Tamandua tetradactyla: one gene and its partners. The protein of the gene in region 2 purifies or fractionates together with the protein of the main gene of each other region. This does not show direct contact. Links are inferred from orthologs where the notes say so. Each region holds a gene or a part of one and is shown on either strand. Other genes may lie near its edges.

Region 1 (7,467 bases), on a different chromosome or scaffold from region 2:
AAATGTACCATAGTAATGTTAAGATGTTAATAGTAGAGGAAACTGTGCACAGGGGGAGAAATAGTCATTAAGACGTCCACATACCCTGAAGGCTCAAGGCTTAAATAAGTGGCACAATACCGAATTCATTTTCCTAATATGGAGGTTGCCAAAGGTAACCCTATAGAACGCTACCTCATAACAATGGTGCCACAGTTAGTTCACATTATTAAAAAACAATCATCATTTTTATTGTGAGCATGGAAAACACTGGGTTTCATTATTACATTATTACACATTACAACAGGATTTATCAGAACTTACAATATACTTATTCTGTTTTTCCTTTCTATTTCTTGATTTGATCTAGATATAAAGTCTCCCTTTTGACCAGAAACAATTCTCTTTACACTTAAGAAAGAGACAGAGTCATTTCTCCAAGTGTGCATAAAAGAGAACATCTTCACCTGGAAAAGAAAGAACTAAGAACCAGAAGATCAAACAACAACCCAACTGAGTAATGTTTAAAGCAGAAATGATCCACTGGATGCTACCTCACCTGGTTTCCAGAAAGAGGTGAAGTGAAGTGGTGACTATGGAGATTTCGACCAGTGTTGACATGTGTCAGCCGGATGGGCTGGCCACATCTGATGGGGGTTCCCCTCTCACACACTGTGGCAGTCTTGCCCCGTATCCTCCAATAACTATTGCTGTCATCCACAGAACTTACACCCGTCACTGACTGTTGCCCACTACCTACAGTCAAAAAAAGAATGGAGAAAAAAAAAAAAGAAGGAGAATGAACTCAACCTGACCCTTCTCTTTCCTATGGACAGTACTGTGTTTTATGTCATAAATAGGTATAGAAGAACAGGGAGGAAACATTATGCTTTGTAATATTTTTTCTTCTAAAACATTAAACTATGAATACTAAATACATTAATAAAGTATTAGTTATTGTATGATAAAACTATACTTAAGAATATGTCCTTTTAAAAAATTTCAAGAATTTGCACCAAAGAGCATTAGATACGCAAATATACGTGTTTTTTGGAAGCACTGGCAGTGCTTACCTTTATATATGAACCTGTATAGCCCCTAGTATATGCCATGTGTCTAATCACATAATTTTAACATGTTTGTAATATTATTCAGTGTTAAGTGTATATTACAATAAAAATTATCACATTTCACAATTAAAACGAGACCACTTTTTGCTGTCAACTTTAATCCAAGCAGCCATTACAGCTCCAAAACTCCCATGAATGGTCTATCAATTTATTATGAAAGTATTTTTGAGTCATCTAAATTTAGATAATGCTGCCTCAAAGTGGTATAATTCTACAGATTAAAAGGTACTGCACTAAACATATAGCTACAAGTTTAAAACAACAACAACAAAAACAAATGATCATTATTAGCTACAGGTTGCTAATGTGTACTGAGCACTTACTAGATGCTAGGCACCAACCCAAACCCTTTGCCTGAATATTCTTATTTGATACAAGTATTTGTTTCCTGAGCTAGGTACCCAAGGTCACATAGCTCCAAGAGTCAGGACTGGGGTTTGAACACAGGCAGCCTGATGCTCCACTCCACCACATGGCCTCCCACAAGCCATTTTTCCTCGTCCAATTTTATATTCTGTCAAGTTCCCCAAAGCAGGCTGTTCTCAAATAAACTCCAGAGACATCTTCTTTCCTAGACACCATTTGCTACCCAATTCTTTGAAGGTATCCCATATTTCCCAAGACTTTTCTCTGATACTCCTTCCTTTCTTAGTTACTAGCATCATCAGTCATCCAAGACCAAAATCTGACAATCATCTTAGATTCCTCTTGCGCCTCACTTGCTAAATTCTTCTTTTTTCGTCTACTTTTGTTTTCTTGTACTTAGCTTGACTTGTTCACTACCATATTTCCTGTATCTAAGCACCTAGTATTAGCTCATCAAATCCATGCAGAATCAATGAACCCACAAATAACTGATTAATGAGCATTTAAATTTTATGGTAAAAAGCCCTCTAATCAGCTTCCTCTTCAATTCCTGTCACTGCTTTAGTTTAAGTTCTTTACAAGGAGAGTAAGATCCAAGCAAAAAGGGGTCAAAGGGTAGGAGTTGAAGAAGTATAACATGCGAAAGAGCTGGGAAGACAGCAGGTTATGGTCAGAAAGTGCGCTTTTGGCATTCAAGACTTCAAAAATACAGGACTTATTTCTATCTACATTTCTGTAATATCTACGTTTCTGTCTTTAGCGCACTGAGTGATGCCAGCCTAGAATAGCTGAAAGTAGACTTTGAAATTGGACAGATTTAGATCAAAACCCGCCTCTGCCGTTCACTAGCTGCAAGGCTTTGAGCAAGCGATTTAATTTCTCTTGGTTTCTTTATCTGTAAAATGAGAATAACAATACTATCTACCTAACAGAAATTTTAAAAATTGAAAAACTATGATTAAGATGCCTTTAGCCAATTAAGTTTTACCGAATCTCCAGACCCTCCTCAGATTTTCTCTAGGCCCCACTCCCTCCGGAGCCTACCAGAACCAAACCCGGTCCCCCGCAGTACCTGACCCATAGCGCACGTCATGTGAGTGGAGCCGGACGTTGTGGCGTGTATTAAGTAGCTTCACCACAGACCCGCATGTAACAACAGCCAAACTGGACGCTCCCACAGCGCCCCACAAACCCCCGAACAGCAACAGTGGTACCACAGCCATCCTGGCTGAACTCCGAAGCCCCTACTCTTAGAAGACCCGGCCCCTCCCCGGAACCGGATGCTGCAGGCAGAAACACTGAAAGGAGGAAGTGAAGCAGTCCGAGGTTTGGTCTTTATGGTTCCTTTGGCTAGAGCGGCCTGAGAAACCGGCCGGACCTGGTTGCTTTCGATCTCCTCGCCCCGTTTCCGGGGCTCTGTGACATTTGCTTTCCTGAACCGCTTCTGCTACCTTTTTCCCCGCTTTCCCCTGGACAAAGGCCCCAAGATCCCTGCGGGAAAAGGGAGCAAGAAATGGCCAACCCACTCCCAATGACAGGGAGCCGGAAGTGACGTAGCACGTTGACGCAGCAGCGGCGGCGGCGGCGGTGGCGGTGGCGGTGTAGGGGCCGTGCTGTGGGTCCGTACTATCCTTTACCAGTCTCGGTTCGACGACTCCATTTTCCTCGGTGGGGACTTACCGCTCCGGAGAAGCGGCGGGAGCCAGGTAAGTAAAGCCCGGACTGGAGAGCGGGTTTCTCGCATGGGTCAAGTGGGGAACCAGGCCCCTAGGGCCTGGTCTCCTAAGGGCAGAGGCATTGGAAAGACGTATGCGGGAAGAAGGGGCGCCTGGCCTTCTCTGTTCCATGAAGAAGGAGAGGAAGGAAATCTGGGTAGCTTTTCAAAATCTTAAGGTTTTTCCCAATCCGGTAGCACCGGGAACCTGTGAATTGGGGTGGCCTGTTGAACCAACAGGCTTGCTGGTATCCCGTCCTTCTCTCTGAAGCTTCTGAAAACTGGGCCACGCGAATGGAAGCTCCTGAGCTGGGATTAGATGATCTAATTGTTTGCTCTGGGGATGTGAATCCTACAGAGCCTTCAGTAGTTAAGCCATTAGGCTAAAGGCCATGCCAAATTTCAGCTTTTCTCGTGTTTTTGAAGCATAAAATTAGAACCTCTTGAGGGTGTTTTCATCATTTAACCTTTTCTAAAGACTGTACCTAAAGTCTTTTTAGACTGAAGCTCGTCCATTCTCCATTGACTCATTTCCTCAAACATTTGCCAAATGCCTATGAGGAGCATCAGAATAGAAAGTTAAAACTGTTTCTTCTTCCATTTTCTATCTTCCTCTCCAGACACCTTGAACCATTTGGGGCAATTCATTTCTCTGCATTGTAAGAACTGATACTTATTTTTCTTTAAGGGGAGGCCTTAAGGTCTCTGCAAATGCTTGGTGGGAATTCACTGTAGTGTCGGAGGTAGTAAGGTCTTATTAAGCTGAACTGTTGCTATTAATGAACATGAAGTGTAAATAACATTGTTTGGTAATTTGGTTAGTTTCTTTGTGAGGGGGTGATGGGTAGGAGGGAAGCTTAGTTCCACTGTTTGTCTCAGAGTTACCAGTTTGCAAGTTTTCGTTGTATTACTTACAAAAGCATGGTTATGCCCTGATCAGCTGTGAATGTAGGGCCTTTTATTCAGTTCGCCTGTGTGGCTGCTAGATTAGATTTAACATATTACCATTATTCCTTAAGGTTTTAACCTCATCAAGAGATTCATCACACTAGGAAGTAGTGAGGTCTGGAGAGACTCATTAAAGATCTCCCTCCTAAGCCCTCCTTCTCAAGAACGGAGACCTAGCTAGTGTAGTAGAAACATACCATCTTTGAAAGAAAATAAATTTGCCTTTGCTTCTATATTCTTGGTCTCAATAAATGGCATCACCATCAGAAACTTACGTATAATTCTTGGATCCTTCTTCTCCATTATTCCTCAAATATGCTCAATCACCAAATCATATTGATTTTTCTACCTCCCCATAGAAATCTTTTCCTGTTATCACACAATTATATTCTAGATCCCTCACTACCATCCCACACTTTTGACTGCCCTTCATAGCCAGACTTCTGTCTGTGCCAATTCAACTTTCTAGTTACTCCTCAGTCTACTCCATTCTGGCTTCTTTTCTGAATACTCTGTTGAAATTGCTCTTGTCAAGGTCACCAGTAATTTCTGTGTTGCCAAATCCAGTGGATACTTTGTTTTTGTTTTCTTCAGTTTCTGAGACATTCAATATAATTAGTTACTCCTTTCTTGACATGCTATCCTTTCTAGAACATCTCACTCTTGGATTTTCTCTATTTCTCTGGTTGCCTTTTCTCTGTCTCCTTTCTTAGCCTCTTTGGTTCTCTACCTAATGTCTAAATGTTGACATTCATTCAACATTTCAGCCTGTGTCCTATTTTCTATGTACATGCTTTCTTTAGGTGATCCAGTTCCATGACTTCAGTTGCCATCTGAAAAGTGGCAACTCTTACATTAAATCTCTGGCCCAGCCCTCTCTTCCCCATGTTCTAGAATCATACATCAGATTTCTTACTTGATAACTCCATTTGGATGTCTCTTAGACATCTCAAACCTAACATACCCAGATGAAAATTTGGGTATCCCATGCTTCTAAAGCTGATCTACCCCATCTCCTAAGTGACGCGCCCATCCGTATGGATACCAGAGCCAGACCTCTGGGAATCATCTTTGATTCTTCTCCCTCACTTCCTACTCCCCCCCCCCCCACACACACACACAAGTACTTGAGAAAGTCCTGTCACTTCTACCTCCAAAATATATTTCAAGTCTGTCTTCTGTTCTCCATCTTCACTACCACCAACATACTTCAAGCCACTATTATCTTCTGCCAGGGTTACCTCAAAGCATCCTCAGTTTTCCCTGCTTCCATTCAAATTCTCTTCCATTCCATTTTCTGTGCAGGAGGATCATGGCAGTTCAGGTCATGTCATTTCTCTGTTTAAAACTATTCCAGTGGCTTTTTGTGACCTTCATGACCCTACTTGAACTATCCTCCCTCTTACATTCTGCCTGCCTTCATCATAGTCTAGTGACACTGGCCTTAGGACATCACCTATCATATACCCAGTTTTGCCCACCTTTTCTAGGGGGAACCTCCTCCCCTGGCTCAGCATGCCACATTCTACCCATTCTTCGCATCTTAGTCTAAACTTAGCCTCTCAGAAATGTCTGCCCTATCTAGGTAGCACCCTGTTTATTTCCTTAATAGCACTTGTAGGAAAGTTTATTTATTTGTTTGTGGTTTGTCTCCTGCATCAGAATATGGGTATCCTAGGTGTAGGGACCTTGTCTGCTTAATACATGCCTGGCACATAATAGTTGAATTGGCAAGTAAGTGAATCATTTCTCTGTTTAAAACCCTACAGTAACTTCCCAGCACCATTAGAGTAGGGTCCAAGATCTTTAACTTACCCTCCAAAGGTTCTTATGATTTCACTTTCAACTCAGTTGTGAACCTTCCTCTCCCCAGACTGACCCTCTCTATGACTCCCCCAGGACATGGTAGGCCTTTTTCTGGGCACACTTTTCAGCACCAGCAGTCCCCCTACCATCTCCAAACCAGCTCCTTCTTTTAGCTAACTCCTCTTCACTCTTTAGGTCCTTATTTAAAGTCATTTCCTCAAAAGCCAGATTCAGTTTCCCTGTTATACTCTCTCTTGATATCCTTCATCAGTTCTTTAAAGACCTGTACTTCAAGATCAGTGGCCAAATTAGGGTACACCCATTCATTTACATATTATTTATGCCTTCATTTGTGCTACAACAGCAGATCTAGTCCTGTAGTATACAGGAAAAGTTTACCAATCCCTGTGCTTGAGCAGGGGCTTTGTATTCCCTGCAAGCCTCAGTAATTGCTACTTTCTCCCTGTGTTGCAGAGGTTCTGAATCTCATTATAGGGTTTAGTTGTTTCTGCTCCTCTTTTGCTATTTCTTTTTTCCCCGAAGAAAAATAGAAAGAAAAGGGCTAAAAACTATTTTTTAATTTTTTATGTTAGGAGCTATTATTAAACAATTATATTTTTATACACTAGCATTGAAAAGATTTAAAGACTGTTATTTCCTGTAATACGATGTGCATGTTAAAATGATTACAGGTGAATTTAACCATTTCTGTATCTTAAAACCTTGGCTTAGTACAGTTAAGATTGTTCATAAGAGTTGTGAATCCCAAATTTAAAAACACTTGTCTTTTAAATACTCTGAATTCAGTGGACTCTGAATTATTTTATTTTAACTTTTGGGTTTCTTTATTCCAAATTGAGTGTTCACTCCTCAATACCTTTGAAATAATCTAGGCCCTTGTTCATAAAATATAGAATGTGTTATGCCTTTTAGTTTAAACCCCACCCCAGACATTTGGCTCTTTCCCAGACCACGAGGCTCTTTCAAGCCTAAGGCTTTGCTCGTGTTGCCTTTTTCCAGACTATCTTCTCAACTGCCCTCTCGATTCAGGGATCCCCTTTTCTGAGGCATCCCCCAGCCTCCCTCCTCACATTGTTCTCATAGCCCTTGTATATAACTCTAAGATAACATTTATTACATTTTGCCATAAGTTTATTTTCAAGTTTTTTTTTGAGATAGATTATGATCTTCACCAGGGTAAGAAGTTTATTTTAATCATTTTTATATATCCAAGGCCCAGCACCGACCTTTACCCTAAAAAACAGAACAGAACAAAACAAAAACAGTATATGTGGATTGGAACTGCAGAGTGAAGGAAATTAGACGAGATCTCTTTTTGCTCTAGTCTCCTCATAGTTGCCTCCTACCATTTTCTTGTTCAAAGGGAGGGACTGCCATGGCCTCCCCTGTGGCAATCTGATCCCAGCTCCATTCCTCTTCCAGAGACTGTCATGGTAACCACCAGCCTCTCCCTGTGAGCCACATCTTGTACTGCAGCTGTGCTTCTGCCTGAAGAAGTCTTTT
Region 2 (7,202 bases):
CCATGCTTGCCGATGCCTGTCCCTCACCCAGCGATCACGGCCCCGATGAGGTACAGCAGCAACAGGCAGAAGGTGCCCAGGTTCTGCGGGGCCATAGTTCTTCCGTCCCGGCCCGGGTCTCACGCACTCCTCGCCGTCTCCCCCGTGGCCACTTCCGCTAGCCAGTCCGCACGGCCCTGTGAGGCCACCTCACGCCGGGGGTCTCCTCCTCGGTCCGCAGCCACAGCTAGCTTGCCCACTCCTTCGCTGGTCGACTTCCCGGGAGTCCCAAATCCCAGTGAAAGAAGCCCCCAGCGGACGAGAGCCAATCGCTGCTAGGGACATCACACGCGGCCGGCGCCGCGGAGCCAATCAGAGCAGTACACTTCACCTCCGAGGCGGCGCGACCTCCAGTTAAGCAGCCCCAGCTCTCGGCCAATTAGAAAAGAAGACGTCAGAGTGTCGCGCCGCCGCAGGAAGCCGTGCAGCCCCGCCTGTCGCAGAAAACTACGTAAAGAGAGGGGGGAGGTGGGTGCCACAGGAGGACACCGGAGGCACAAGAAGGTCCTCCCGCCCGGCCCCTTGGACTCTCCACCAATCACGGGGCGCTTCCTCCAGCACCGACCAATTGCAGGAGGAAGGCTTTTTCTAGGTCACATGTCTCGGAATTTCATTCATTTTGAGCGTCCTTCCGGACGCCAGTACGCAAGGATGACGGCAAAATGGGCGGGACAGTTATTCCAGGCTCAATGTACATCGGTTCCACTGCTTAAGAGATTTTATTTTAAATAATCCAAACAATCTCCTGAGAAAATTTTACAGAGAAAAAGCCATGGTGCCTAAGGTGAGCATCTTTGATGTAGGTAGATAGACTTAGGTTCGGATTCGGCTTCCACCACTTCTTAACCGTAAGACGAGCCTAAGGTACTTGATGAACAAAATTGGGGCAAAACACTACTGGAAGTGTTGTGAGTTTTTAATGTTAGGAAATCTGTAAATTGTCTAGCACAGCATCAGGCGTATAGTAAGCACGCAATGAATAATAACTTATTGCAGTTATGAATGGAACTATTTGATTCGTCCCAATCTTCACCTACTTTTGATCATTTCAGTAAACGCACCACCTCGTTGTTGAGGACAAAATTCTTGGTGCCTTTCTTGATTCTTTTCCTGCATCACTTGTCCAATTCTTTACCTCTTAACTGTGTCCTGAATCTCTGGTGCACTGCTCTACATATCCACTACCTCTCTGGGCTAAGTCAATATCATCTCTCCCTGACAGGGACTCCTAACTGACGTCCCTGCCTTTACTGTTAATATCCTACCATCCATTTTCAGCCTCTGCGCTCCCCACTCCCCAACGACAAAAATAAATAATAAATAAATAATTAAGATTATGTGGCTTCTCTGCTTAAAAGCTCCAAATGGCTTTTCATTACACGTAGAACAAAATTCCAACTCTTCCTACCCTACCTTATGAAACCTTACATGACCTGTACTCTCACCTAGGATACTGCCAACAAAACTAGCTTCTTTTCTCTTTTTTGAACACACCAAGCTCATTCCTGCCTTAGGGTCCTTGTACTAGCTGTTCCCTCTACCTGAGACACTCTTCCCTCAGATCCTAACATGGATAACTCCTTTCTTATATCAGTTTAAATGTCACTTCAGAGAGGACTTCCCTGTCCATCCAATCAAAATTAGCACATACCAAATCCCTTATTCTCACAACACCCTATTTTGTTTCCATCCCTGACCCTCACATCCCCACACTTATATGTCAGTTCCACAGGATCATGAATCTGGTCTGTTATATTCACTCTTATACCCCTAGTATCTTAGAACAGAATAGGCACACAACTATTTTTTTGGTAAATGGATGACTAGTTGCTTTGATTGTGACCTCCATATGGCTGCTTCTTTAGGCTTTAGCTCAAATGTCGGCCCTATTAAATGGCCTTCTTAGTCTCCCGCCTCCCAGTTTTCATAGCACTTTTTACATTTGAAATTATTCTATTTCCTCAATATGTATTGTGTATTCTTCCTATTAAAATACACACTTCAAGAAGGATGTGCACTGGTGGCTCAGTGGCAGAATTCTCACCTGCTGTACCGGAGACGCGGGTTCGATCCCCAGAGCCTGCCTGTGCCAAAAAAAAATGGAAAATATACACTCCAAGAAAGCAGGGATCCTCTCTGTTTTGTTCATTGCTGTAACCCTTGTGCCTTGCATTGTGTCAGGCACACAGTGGTGCTCGATGAATAATTATTGCTGTTGGCAGAAAACTAAGACATAGATAAGTGACAAAATTTGCCAAAGGTCAATGAGCTAGTAAATGGTGCAGCCTGAATCCTCAACCAGGTCTGTCTGAATCGAAGTCCCTGTTTTTTGCATCTACACATATGTGGGACTAAGAGGAAGACATGGTTTACTACTTTTAGGAAGATGTCTCTTAGGGAGAGAAGCCACGTAAATGAGGAAGTAAACTACACTTTTTGTCTTATATCCCTTTGTATCCCCCACACCAAGAGAGGCCATAAAGGAACAAAGAAAAGCAGGAAAAGGCCACAAATCATAAATAAGAGGTGATATCTTCTGCTGGGTGGAATAAAAAAAAATCTTCACGAAGACGGTAACACGGCAGGAAAACTAACAGAGTTAAGGAGATAACGCAAGGGGCTTTCATCTCCGACTGCCTGGGTTTAAATGTTGGCTCTTCTCTAATTGTGTGCCCTTAGGGGTGTGTTACTTAAATCTCTCTACAATCCCAGTTTCTTCATCAGTATAACAAATGTTTTTAATTTGATGGACTCTTGGGAAGACTGAAAAAAAATGCACGTATAAGTGCTTTACACAGTGCCCAGCCCATAATAAGCGCTCTATAAATCTAAACTGCCATAATCATTATTACTTATCAAAGCGTGCTGACCTTACCAGCCGCTACTGACAGACCCACGGTTCTGTAGAGCATTAGAAAACTTATTCTCTGGGTGGAAAGACGCGCCACTAGAGAGCAGCCGGGTCTGGCTCCTCATCGAGGACTCCAGGCCTCCCAATTGGTCTCCGTCACTGAAGAGGCGGCGCTCTAGCAACGCCGCCTGCTGCTTCTCGGTGATACAAGCCCCCGCGCATGCGCATTGGGTGTCGAGGCGCGCTGGGAACCCGGGTGTAGGGGCTTTGCGCTCGCAGGTAACAGCGCGCGGCGGTCGGTGGCTGGTGGGCTGGGAGAGGGATGAATGGGTCAAGTTTTAGGCTGGGATTGAGAAGGGTGTATTCGCGCTTCCCAGACGCGAAGCCAGGGTGCGCTTCGGACCCTGTCAGCTGGGGCGTCTCTGTTTCCATAGCTCGGGCTTCCCGTATCAGGGCTCTGGCACGTCCCCGCCGCCTTTTCCCGGCTGTGTTCTAGGCGGCGGCCCGGCCGTTGTCCACACGCCGGCCTCCCCGCCGGAGAAACCTTAACGCCAGCGTCTCCCTGAGGAGTTTTAGGAGAGGTAAAGGCCCCAGGATATGTTTGTTTGTGAATTTCGACTTCCGGAATTTGGAGACCTTGGAAAGGACGTCCTTAGGATATGGCTTTTGACTGCGAGTTTAGACCTCCGGAGTTGCAGAATTAGAAGAGACCTTAGAGAGTATACATCCGTAGGATTTGGCTTTTGATTGCACACTTCAGAGCAGCCTATTTACGTTTTGGGAAGAACTAAGATTTTCCTCCTGTAACCATCCTCTAGTTGTATTCAGAACGATATTAAGCCTTGCCCATTTAGGGAAGACTTGTTTACTCTCCACGCGCCTTTTTGGCTCAGAATCCCAAACTCCTTCACCTGGCCCTTATTTGGTCTCATGTCTAAGGCTCTTTATTATAGTCGGCGTCCCGTTTATTAAAGGTTCATCCAAATTGAATTCCCAAAGTACATCTGTAACAACACGATTCTCAAGTCAGAGAAACATTTAATTGTAATCTAGGGCCGTGCGAACTAATTATGCAGTTTTGGTCAAGTCTTTTAACTTCTCTAAACCTCATTTCCCTCATCTGTAAATGAGATGGAGGTGTTGTGAGGATGAAAACATGAAGTACGCAAAATGTTTAGCATGCTGCCTGGCATATAGTAAGCACTGGATTAGTGTCAGTTTTTAAAAACAGCTTTATTGAGATATAATTCATCTACAGTTCGTCAATTTAAAGGGCACAATTCAAGGGTTTTAAGTATATTCACAGATTTGTGCAACCATTGGCACAGTGAATTTTAGAACGTTTTCATTACATTAAAAGAAACCTCTTCGTCTTTAGTTTTCACATCATGTTTTCCATTATGAGAAAATTCCCCCCCAGGCCTAAGCAACCACCAACCTACTTACTGTTACATAGGTTTCCCTGTTCTGGACATTTCATACAATATGTGTTTTTTGGTGAATGGCTTGTTTTATTTAGCATAATGTATATTTAAGGTTCATCTTGTAACATTCATCACTACTTCATTACTTTTTATGGCTGAATAATATACTGTTGTATGGATATACCACATTTTGTTTATCTATTCATCAGTTGATGGGCTTTTGGGTTGTTTCCATCTTTTGGTGATTGTGAATAATGCTGCTATAAACATTTGTACGTAAGTTTTTGCATGGACAATCAATTATTTTTTTGAACAATTTCCAAAAGATGCATAGTTATAAGGAAAGGCTTTTTTTTTTAAAGATGATGTTACTTAATGGTGAGGAGTATTCAATGAAGAGAGTACTGTGGTCAAGTGATGGTACAATTTGGTAAAATTTTGGAAAGCAATAGAAATATATGTCAGGAGCTTCAAAAATGTCAGTATTACTTCATCTGTCAGATACACATCTGATAATTTTCCTTGGGAAATCATTTATAATGCAGAAGCAGCTATGCAGAAAGATGGTAAACAGCATTATTTATAATTTTGAAAACACTTAAACTTATTAAGGACATTTTTAGTATACACAAAAGTAGAGTATACCCATCACCCAGCGTCAAAAGTGATCAATATTTTGTCTATCTTGTTTTTGTGAAAAATTTTTATACCTGTTAAATGTCTAAAATTAGGTGACTGGTTGAGTAATAGCAAGGAATACACTTTTGCATACTCTTCCTTTAATCGCCAATGAAAGTAACAATACAAGCAAGACAATTTTGTTGTATTGCAAAAATCTTCTTGCCCAAGTAGATTTTAATGAAATCCAATAAAAACTTTATTCTACTTCTGGTTGATGAAATAGTGCTACTTTTCAAACTGGTGTAGTACATTTAAAAACAGTTAAGGGAGGTGTCACCTTCTAAGACATTTATAAATGAGTTTTGTTGTTTCAGATCAGTTTGTGAAGAAACTTTGTTTCCTAGGTATGCAAAGAAGACTTTTTACACAATTGTCCTTAGAGATAGCATGGATCAGTCTGGAGTTCTCCTTTGGGTGAAAGCAGAACCATTTATGGTGGGCGCCTTACAGGTGCCTCCTCCATCCAAGTTCAGCCTTCACTATCTCAGGAAGATATCCAGCTATGTGCGAACCCGGGCCACATGCAGTGCTTTCCCACGGCTCTACTGGTCTACATGGAGGCACATTGCGTGTGGGAAACTGCAGTTGGCTAAGGATCTGGCATGGCTTTACTTTGAAGTATTTGATAGTCTTGTGGAAAGGACACCCGAAGAGCGTCTGGAATGGTCTGAGGTTATGTCCAATTGCATATCTGAGGATGAAGTCGAAAAGCAAAGAAATCAGGTATGGATTTTTGTGTGTGTGAAATTGTTAGGGAAATGAATAATTTCTTTCTTTATCTGTGATCTTTGTACCAGCTGGATAGTTTATTTTAGGCTAATGACCATTGTGATCCCAAAGGTCTATTTGAGTTTTGGCAGTTCTGGTTTGTCAGTATTTAATATATTTAATGAATTGTTTCTTACTCACCCATCCTTATTTTATCCTAAAGCAATAATGTTATGTGAATCCTATAACTGAAAGAGGAGAATAGTTCCATTGATTTAAAAAATATTTTGGTGTGTGTGACTGCTTATGAACCACTGATATGTTAGTCAGGGTGCACATTTTTTTTCACATTTCTTTTTTTTTAATTAATTAAAAAATTTTTAAAAAATATAACAACAAACACAAACATTCTTAACATATGATCATTCCGTTCTACATGTATAATCAGTAATGCACAGTATCATCTCCTAGTTGCATATTCATCATCATAATCATTTCTTAAAACATTTGCATCAATTCAGAAAAAGAAATAAAAAGACAACAGAAAAAATTCATACATACCATACCCCTTACCCCCCCTTTCATTGATCACTAGCATTTCATTCTACTCAATTTATTTTAACATTTGTTCCCCCTATTATTTATTTTTATGCTGTATGTTTTACTCATTTGTTGATAAGGTGGATAAAAGCATCAGACACAAGGTTTTCACAATCACACAGTCACATTGTGAAAGCTATATCATTATACAATCATCTTCAGGAAACATAACTACTGGAACACAGCTCTACATCTTCAGGCAGTTCCCTCCAGCCCCTCCATTACATCTTGACTAACAAGGTGATATCTATGTAATGCGTAAGAATAAGCTCCGGGACAACCTCTTGACTCTTTGGAATCTCCCAGCCATTGACACTTTATTTTGTCTCATTTCATTCTTCCCCCTTTTGGTCGAGAAGGTTTTCTCAATCCCTTGATGCTGAGTCCCAGCTCATTCTAGGATTTCTGTCCCACGTTGCCAGGAAGGTCCACACCCCTGCGAGTCATGTCCTGTGTAGATGGGGTGAGGGCGGTGAGTTTGCTTGTTGTGTTGGCTGGAGAGAGAGGCCACATCTGAGCAAAAACAGGGGTTCTCTTGGGGGTGACTCTTAGTCCTAATTTTAAGTAGGCTTAGTCTGTCTTTTGTGGGGTTAAGTTTCATATGAACAAACCCCAAAATTGAGGACTCAGCCTATTGCTTTGGTTGTCCCCACTGCTTGTGAGAATATCAAGAATTCTCTACTTGGGGAAGTTGAATTTTCCTCCTTTCTCACCATTCTCCCAAGGGGACTTTGCAAATACTTTTTTACTCACTGTTCAGATCACTCTGGGATTTATTGGGGTATCACTCTGGACAAACCTAGAAAATCTTATGCCCTACTCAAGGCTCCCTGTACTTATGGTGTTCAATTAAGCTGTTCACATAAGTTATATTAGGAAATGCACTAGTCAAAATATAA
Region 3 (7,008 bases), on a different chromosome or scaffold from region 2:
CTGGACATGCTTGTGCAGCGGGAAGGGACCAGGAAGAGGTAAGCTATGATGCTAGTTTTCAGCAGATGGGCAGAGCCCTGGATCAGAGACAAGTGTCACAGGCAGCCCCAAAGGCTCGGGGTGCTAGGAGAAGGGGGCTCTCGCCAAGGGGTGAGGGGGCTGGAGAGCTTGTGCCCCATCCCAGCTGGTAGCAAGTGAGGCTCCTCTGATCCCCCTGCCCTGAGGCCTGAGCTCTGTCTTTTTTTTTTAACAGAAAGGTTCATGCAATTCAGGGGCTGGGAAACTGGGGTCACTTCCATCAGAGAATCCAAGGGTGGACAGAGGGCTCTGATCACCAGGGCTGGCCCCAAACTTGGGATGCTCAGCTTTGGAGGGCTGGGAAAAAAAGAGCACAGCCAGATTTGGGTGGGTTCGGCAGTCAGGCTGGGCTGGTAGACAGGAGTTTTACAACAAGGAAAAGACAATGCATGGGATCAGGGAGGACAACCGCCAGGCTCACAGAGAAACACAACCACAGAGTAACATTCTTTAATCGCAAAGGCACTTGCGGACACCCCCTACACCCAAAGTCCCCTCCGAGCCTGGCTCCCAGGATGCCTGGACTCTCTGCCTCCCTCACCCACCCATCCAGGAAGTCAGAGTTCGTCGTGACCCGCGGAGGGCTCCGGGCTGGGCTTGATGAAGACGCCTTCCAGAGCCTTCCACGTGTTGTGGACATTGGCGCTCGGCATGCCGTGGACCTCGTGCTGTCCACGGATGGGGCTCCCGTACTGCTCACCCGTCACAGACAGGAACACGGAGGTGCCCACGTGCTGGAAGCGCACGGCGGCCCCTCGCTCCCAGTGCTGGCCGGAGCAGCGCACCGTCCACAGGTCCAGGTCATCGCCCTCGCCATCCTCCCCGAAGGCGCTCACCTCCTTGGGGTGGGGGTCGGGGTGAGAGTGGGGACAGCGGTCACTTACAGAGGACAGACCGAGTTCCCTGCAGCTGCCAGCCTGGCAGAGGTACCTGTCCTTCCCAGCCCCACTCTGAGATTTGGCTTTTACCGCTGCAGAACGGGGCTCCACCACCCCAAGCCCAGCATCCCAAACAGGGGATCTTCAAACAGACACATGCACTCCCAGCCTCCATTTCCTCCTCCATGGTTGCGGGTCCTCACTACTCACTTGGACCAAGCCTCAGCTAAGATTGCAACCCACCAGGCTGACACTCAAGGTCTCTAGTTACCCCAAACTTTCTCTTTACCCCTCCCAGAAAGCACCCCCATCGAAGTTCCAATCACCTCTCCGCCTGGGCCTGGAAAGTCACTAGTTTCTTGGACTAGGGCCCAGAAAACTCCTACTCATCCTTCAGCACCCAGCCGGAGTCCTTCCCCTGAACGCCTCCCCAGAGAGGGGTTATCCTGGCAGAGCTCTCTTTCAGGTCCCCCGGGATGCTCTTGGGAGGGGGGATCACCTGTCACCCCAGAGGGTGTGCCCGGCAAACACTGCTGAACTGAAATTCCCATTTAACAGATGAGGAAGCTGGAGGCTCAGAGAGGGTGGGGGCTAGGGTCCTGAGGTCCTGCCCGGCCCATGCCCCTCTCCTACCCACCCACACACACATATCGGCCGTGGTGGAGGTGGGGGTCCCCGGGCTGGGGCCTCACCTGGTTTTCGGACAGCGGCGACGGGAAGTGGTGCGTGTGCAGGTTCTTGCCCGTGAGCACGTGCGTGAGCCGCACACCCTGGCCGCAGCGCACCGGGGCCCCGCGCGGGCACCCGCCCTCCGCGCCGCCGCGGATCCGCCAGTAGCTATTGACGTCGTCGGACGCCTCGACGCCGGTCACCGACTGTTGGCCGCTGCCTGGGGGTGGGGCGGGGAGGGGGCAGACGGTACAGGAGAGAAGGATCAAGGGCACTGACTCAGATCAGGACCCTCCCCACCCAGCCACAGGGGATCAACACCCATCTTGTCCTCCCAACCCTTGCCCCCGACACCCATCGACTTCCCCCGACGACTCCAACAGCCCAACCCGACCCCCTACCCCTGGCTCCCGGCTGATCACCACACACACACACCCCCAAGTTCTTGGCCTGCAATCCCCCCCTGCCCGCGCCAACCACCATCACCAATATCCCGACGCCCCTCCTCAACGCGAGATCCTCGCGGCGATCGGCGTCCACACAGACCCCGGACCCGACCCCCTGGAGATCCCCAGGGCCCCGGCTCGCGGCCCAGCCCCGCGCACCAGATCCGTATTTGATGTCGTGCGAATGCAGCCGCACCCGGTGCTGCGTGTTGAGCAGCTTCAGCACCGACCCGCAGGTCACGACTCCCGTGCCGCTCTTGGTGGCCCCGCCGCCGGGCACCAAGAGCGCCAGCAGCAGCCCCAGAAGCGCCGCGGATCCCGCCGCCCGGCCGCGACCCCAGCCCGCCCTGCGCATCGCCCTGGTCCCCCGGCTGCGGCAGCCCGGGCCCCAGGGCTACTTCCGCCCCCGCCTACAGCCAATCCGGCTCTGACAGCGCCTGGCCGCCGCGGCCAATCGCCGGCCCACGCAGCGCCCCGTCTGCACAGCCATTGGGCCGGCGTGGAGGGGACCCGCCCCCGAGCCTTTCGGAGAGCGTCTGGGAGGGGGCTGGAGACACGAGGAGAGTTCTGATTGGTCCTCACTTACGAGGGCTCACCAATGAGAGGCAAGGGAGGGGTGGGCGGTGCTGGACGGTAGGAACGCGTGGAGTAGCGCTTGCAGGTGAGCGCCGGGCGGCTGCGGAGCCGGGACCCCTCGCACCCCGGGGTCCACGGAGCTCCCTAACCTTGGACACCCCTGCCCTCAATTATTACTCTCTCCCACGACACCGAGCCCGCAGCTGCAAGGTCTTGAGGTTTCCAGATCCCTAAATCAGTGGACCCCAAAGTTATCGAATCTTGTAGTCCCTCGGTCCCTGGGGTGACCCTGAGGTTAATCGGCCACCCGGTCATTCCCGGACATTCGGTCACCTCAGCCAACCCGGTCCTCTTGTGCCGGGATCCTTCTGTGGCAGAATCCCTTGTCCACTTGGCCATCGGGCAGCAGAGGGCAGCAGGGAGCTGTGATGTTTAGAATAATGGCAGGTTCTCGCCAGGAAACACCAAAGCTGTTTTAGGGACTGGAAGTGTAAATACAAATAGAAAATAATAATTTTCCCTGGTGCAAAAATAAAAATAAATAAATAATGGGGGGGGGGGACAGAGATTCCCCTCACCATGCACATTCCCTTTTTTAGAACATTTTCTTTAGAAAGCTTGTCATCCTAAATTCTTCCCCTGTATGTGAATTTTTTAAAAAAGCTAAATAACCCCCCTGCCAGCTTTACAATCCAGAAAGTTCCTTCTCAAGGACCTGGGAGCTATCTCTTTGAAATGTTAATCATCTAGGAAGATAGTGCCCCTATCTCCCAGTTTCCAAGGGAGGATCGGCTCGAAGTTACAAACCTACCTACCTCCAGTATCAAAGATATGAGAAAATTCTGGATGAAGGCATTTAAGCAACATTGGCTGCCCCAATGGCCAGGTGGCTTTAGGATATATTTTAGGCATCTTTGAAAAATTGGTGCTCATGCTTGAGGACGTGTTATCTTTATCTTGAGAACATGCTTGCAATGAGTTGTAGTTGTGTGGTATGGAAATGTATAAAATTCCTTTTTGTCACTTCAGTCTCTAGCGGGTTTCCCGCGATAAGACATTACATTCTGATTTTACACTTCTTCAATCATGAAATGGTTTTCTTTCTCCTCTGCTTTTATGCTGAGATGTTTAAAGGTTGGCAGGAGATTTTGTTTTTTATTACATTCCCCCAACAGAATCCAGGGTCCAAGGACAAAGAGATATGAGAGGAACCAAGCTTGAGTGATGGTCTGGCCAGTCCCAGATTTCCTGGATATGTCCCAGGCTTGCTGCCTCCCCTGAGGGCTGTCAGCTCAGTTGGTGGGGGAGGAAAACTTACTCCAGTGTTTATTCATTACAGGAGCATCCTGCCAACTTCCCTCCAGGCCCAGTGCAGGGAGCCAAGAGGGAATTGGCTCTGGGCTGCTTTACCCAATAGTCTGACTTTGGTGCTTGGGGCACCAGAGAGGCAGGGAGAAAAGTTCATATCTAATGAAATCATCCAGAATTTTGCATTTGGGAAATCCAGAGAAAGCCACTTGAATTCTAGCAACAGGTTAAATTTAGGATTTTCAGGTTTAATACTGTTTTTTTGTTTTGTTTTAAATTACCAAGAAATAGGGCATCTTGATGTTTTCTGCGTTTAGGGTGTCTCACTGGTTAAAGGATTTAACAGACCCTGCACTTGAGGGGCCTCTGGTCTGGGATGGGGGTGGGGGGAAGGCTAAAGCATGATTTTGGAAGCATTGAACATGTTTGTTTTGGTTTGCTAGAGCTGCCAGAATGCAATACACCAGAAAAAAGGGGATTTATTGGGTGAGCCATGGTGGCTCAGCAGGCAGAGTTCTCGCCTGGTTCAAGTCCCAGTGCCTGCCCATACAAAAAAAAAAGCGGGGGAGGGGGGATGGATTTATTAAGTCGCAAGTTTACAGTTCTAAGGCCATAATACCTTGACAAGAGGAAGGCTGATATCTGTCATGTGGGAAAGCCTGTGATTGCCCTCTGCTGGTCCTTTGGCTTCAATAGCTTCCCCGGGGGCATTTTCTTTCTGCATCTCTAAATGTCTGGGCCTCCTGTTGGCTCTGTCAGCTCTAGAGCTTTATCCAAAATATTTCCTCTTAAAGGACTCCAGTAAACAACCCCACCTTGAATGGGCAGAGACACATCTCTATGTAAACCATCTAATCAAAAGGTGCCACCCACCATTGGGTGGGTCACATTTCTATGGAAACAACTTAATCAAAAGGATTCCAGCCAACAATACTGAATGAGGATTAAAGAACATGGCTTTCTACTTAAAATTAGGCCTAAGAGTCACCCCCAAGAGAACCTCTTTTGTTGCTCAGATGTGGCCTCTCTCTCCAGCCAACACGACAAGCAAACTCACCACCCTCCCCCTGTCTATGTGGGACATGACTCCCAGGGGTGTGGACCTTCCTGGCAATGTGGGGCAGGAAACCTAGAATGAGCTGAGACTCAGCATCAAGGGATTGAGAAAAAAACCTAGAATGAGCTGAGACCCAGCATCAAGGGATTGAGAAAACCCTCTCAGCCAAAAGGGGGAAGAGTGAAATGAGGCAAAGTGTCAATGACTGAGAGATTCCAAACAGAGTTGAGAGGTTATCCTGGAGGTTATTCTTACGCATTAAGTAGATATCACCTTATTACCCAAGAGGAAATGGAGAGGCTGGAGGGAACTGCCTGAAAATGTAGAGCTGTGTTCCAGTAGCCAGGTTTCTTGATGATGATTGTATAATGATATAGCTTTCACAATGTGACTGTGTGGTTGTAAAAACCTTGTGTCTGATGCTCCTTTTATCTACCTTGTCAACAGATGAGTAGAACATATGGAATAAAAATAAATAATAGGGGGGACAAATGTTAAAATAAATTTAGTTTGAAATGCTAGTGATCAATGAAAGGGAGGGGTAAGGGGTATGGTAGGTATAATTTTTTTCTGTTTTCGTTTTATTTTTCTGTTGTCTTTTTATTTCTTTTTCTGAATTGATGCAAATGTTCAAAGAAATGATCATGATGATGAATATGCAACTATGTGATGATATTGTGAATTACTGATTATATATGTAGAATGGAATGATCATATATTAAGAATGTTTGTATTTCTTTCCTGTAATTTTTTTTTAATTAAAAAATTAATTTAAAAAATTTTTTTAAAAAAGAAGAAGAACATGGCTTTTCTGGGGTCTACAACAGTTTCAAAATGGCACAGTGTCCTTTCTATGCATCTTAAAATCAACATGTTGGGTGACACATAGAGCACTTCCTGGCTGAGCAAGGACCCACAGTATCCCTGCCCTCCTCCTTGGACCCCCCAGAAGCATGCCAAGCTTTAGCTGCTATAACTTTGGATGTTGCCCACCCTGAGCACATCTCGTTTTAAGAAAAGAGCACATACCAAAATGTCTTCCCAAGATCTGCACACAGGCCCCTGGCCCTTAGCCACAGGTGTGTCTCAACATATCTAATCTGTAGAGCGGTTGCCATGGGCACACATATACTCGAGTGAACCTCTTGGCATTTGTGTTAGTTTGCAAGCTGCCGGAATGCAATATGCCAGAAATGGAATGGCTTTTTATAAAGGGGAATTGAATAAGTTACAAGTTTACAGTTTTAGAAAGTGAAAATGTCCAAATTAAGGCACCAACACAACACTCACCAACACTTGAAGGTAACCTTCACTCAAGAAAGGCCGATGGCTCAGGAACCCCTCTGTCAGCTGGGGAGTCACGTGGCTGGCACCTGCTGATCCCTTGCTCCTGGGATCCATTGCTTTCAGCCTCTGGTCCTGTAGGACTTCCTCACTTTGCTTCTCCAGGGCTGGCTTTCATCTCTTGGCTTCATCTCCAGGCATTGGCTTGCTTAACATCTCATGGTGACATCTGCTGGGCTCCAAGCATCTGCAAACATCCGTGTTTCTGTTCTCCACGTGTTGGCATCTGTGTCAGCTCTGCTGTGAACTTTCTGTCGGCTCTGAGACTTCTGTCACTTCTGTCGTTTCTGGCTCTCTCCCAAACGTCTCCCCTTTTGAAGGATTCCAGTGAACTAATCAAGACCTACCCGGAATGGGTGGAGTCACATCTCATCCAATGAAAAGGTCACACTCACAATTAGGTGTACCACATCTCCATGGAGATAATCTAATCAAAAGATTCCACCCTACAGTATTGAATCAAGATGAAAAGAAACAGCTGCCCTCATGAGATTGGATCAGGATCAAAACATGGCTTTTCGGGGTACCCGATACTTTCAAGCTGGCACCCATCTCACTGTGAATCACGAGGTAGCTGCAGCTGTCTGTAAGGGAGAGCCTAATAAATGCCCAAGGACTTATCACTCTGATGTTCAGTGCTTCTTTTTTCAGG

The links.
Region 1: the proteins of DNAJB11 (region 2) and SDF2 purify together in Homo sapiens (affinity purification with mass spectrometry; 3 studies listed by BioGRID and IntAct, counting the BioPlex papers as one, with this or other methods). This does not show direct contact. The link is inferred for Tamandua tetradactyla from reciprocal best matches to the Homo sapiens genes DNAJB11 and SDF2.
Region 3: the proteins of DNAJB11 (region 2) and SDF2L1 purify together in Homo sapiens (affinity purification with mass spectrometry; 3 studies listed by BioGRID and IntAct, counting the BioPlex papers as one, with this or other methods). This does not show direct contact. The link is inferred for Tamandua tetradactyla from reciprocal best matches to the Homo sapiens genes DNAJB11 and SDF2L1.

The regions. Positions count from the first base shown.
Region 1 is NC_135332.1:51,869,164-51,876,630, forward strand, and holds the start of SDF2 (stromal cell-derived factor 2), read right to left. Parts: upstream 3,013-7,467; 5' UTR 2,699-3,012; coding exon 2,548-2,698; intron 736-2,547; coding exon 539-735; intron 1-538.
Region 2 is NC_135336.1:5,481,150-5,488,351, reverse strand, and holds the start of DNAJB11 (dnaJ homolog subfamily B member 11), read right to left. Parts: upstream 3,021-7,202; 5' UTR 2,952-3,020; coding exon 2,915-2,951; intron 2,124-2,914; coding exon 2,084-2,123; intron 824-2,083; coding exon of another isoform or gene 812-823; exon of another isoform or gene 524-811; intron 418-523; exon of another isoform or gene 96-417; coding exon of another isoform or gene 28-95; intron 1-27. Other genes in the region: TBCCD1 (TBCC domain-containing protein 1), read left to right, coding at 5,383-5,718. UniProt on the Homo sapiens protein: As a co-chaperone for HSPA5 it is required for proper folding, trafficking or degradation of proteins.
Region 3 is NC_135331.1:26,318,981-26,325,988, forward strand, and holds SDF2L1 (stromal cell-derived factor 2-like protein 1), read right to left. Parts: upstream 2,469-7,008; 5' UTR 2,427-2,468; coding exon 2,231-2,426; intron 1,846-2,230; coding exon 1,649-1,845; intron 918-1,648; coding exon 636-917; 3' UTR 513-635; downstream 1-512.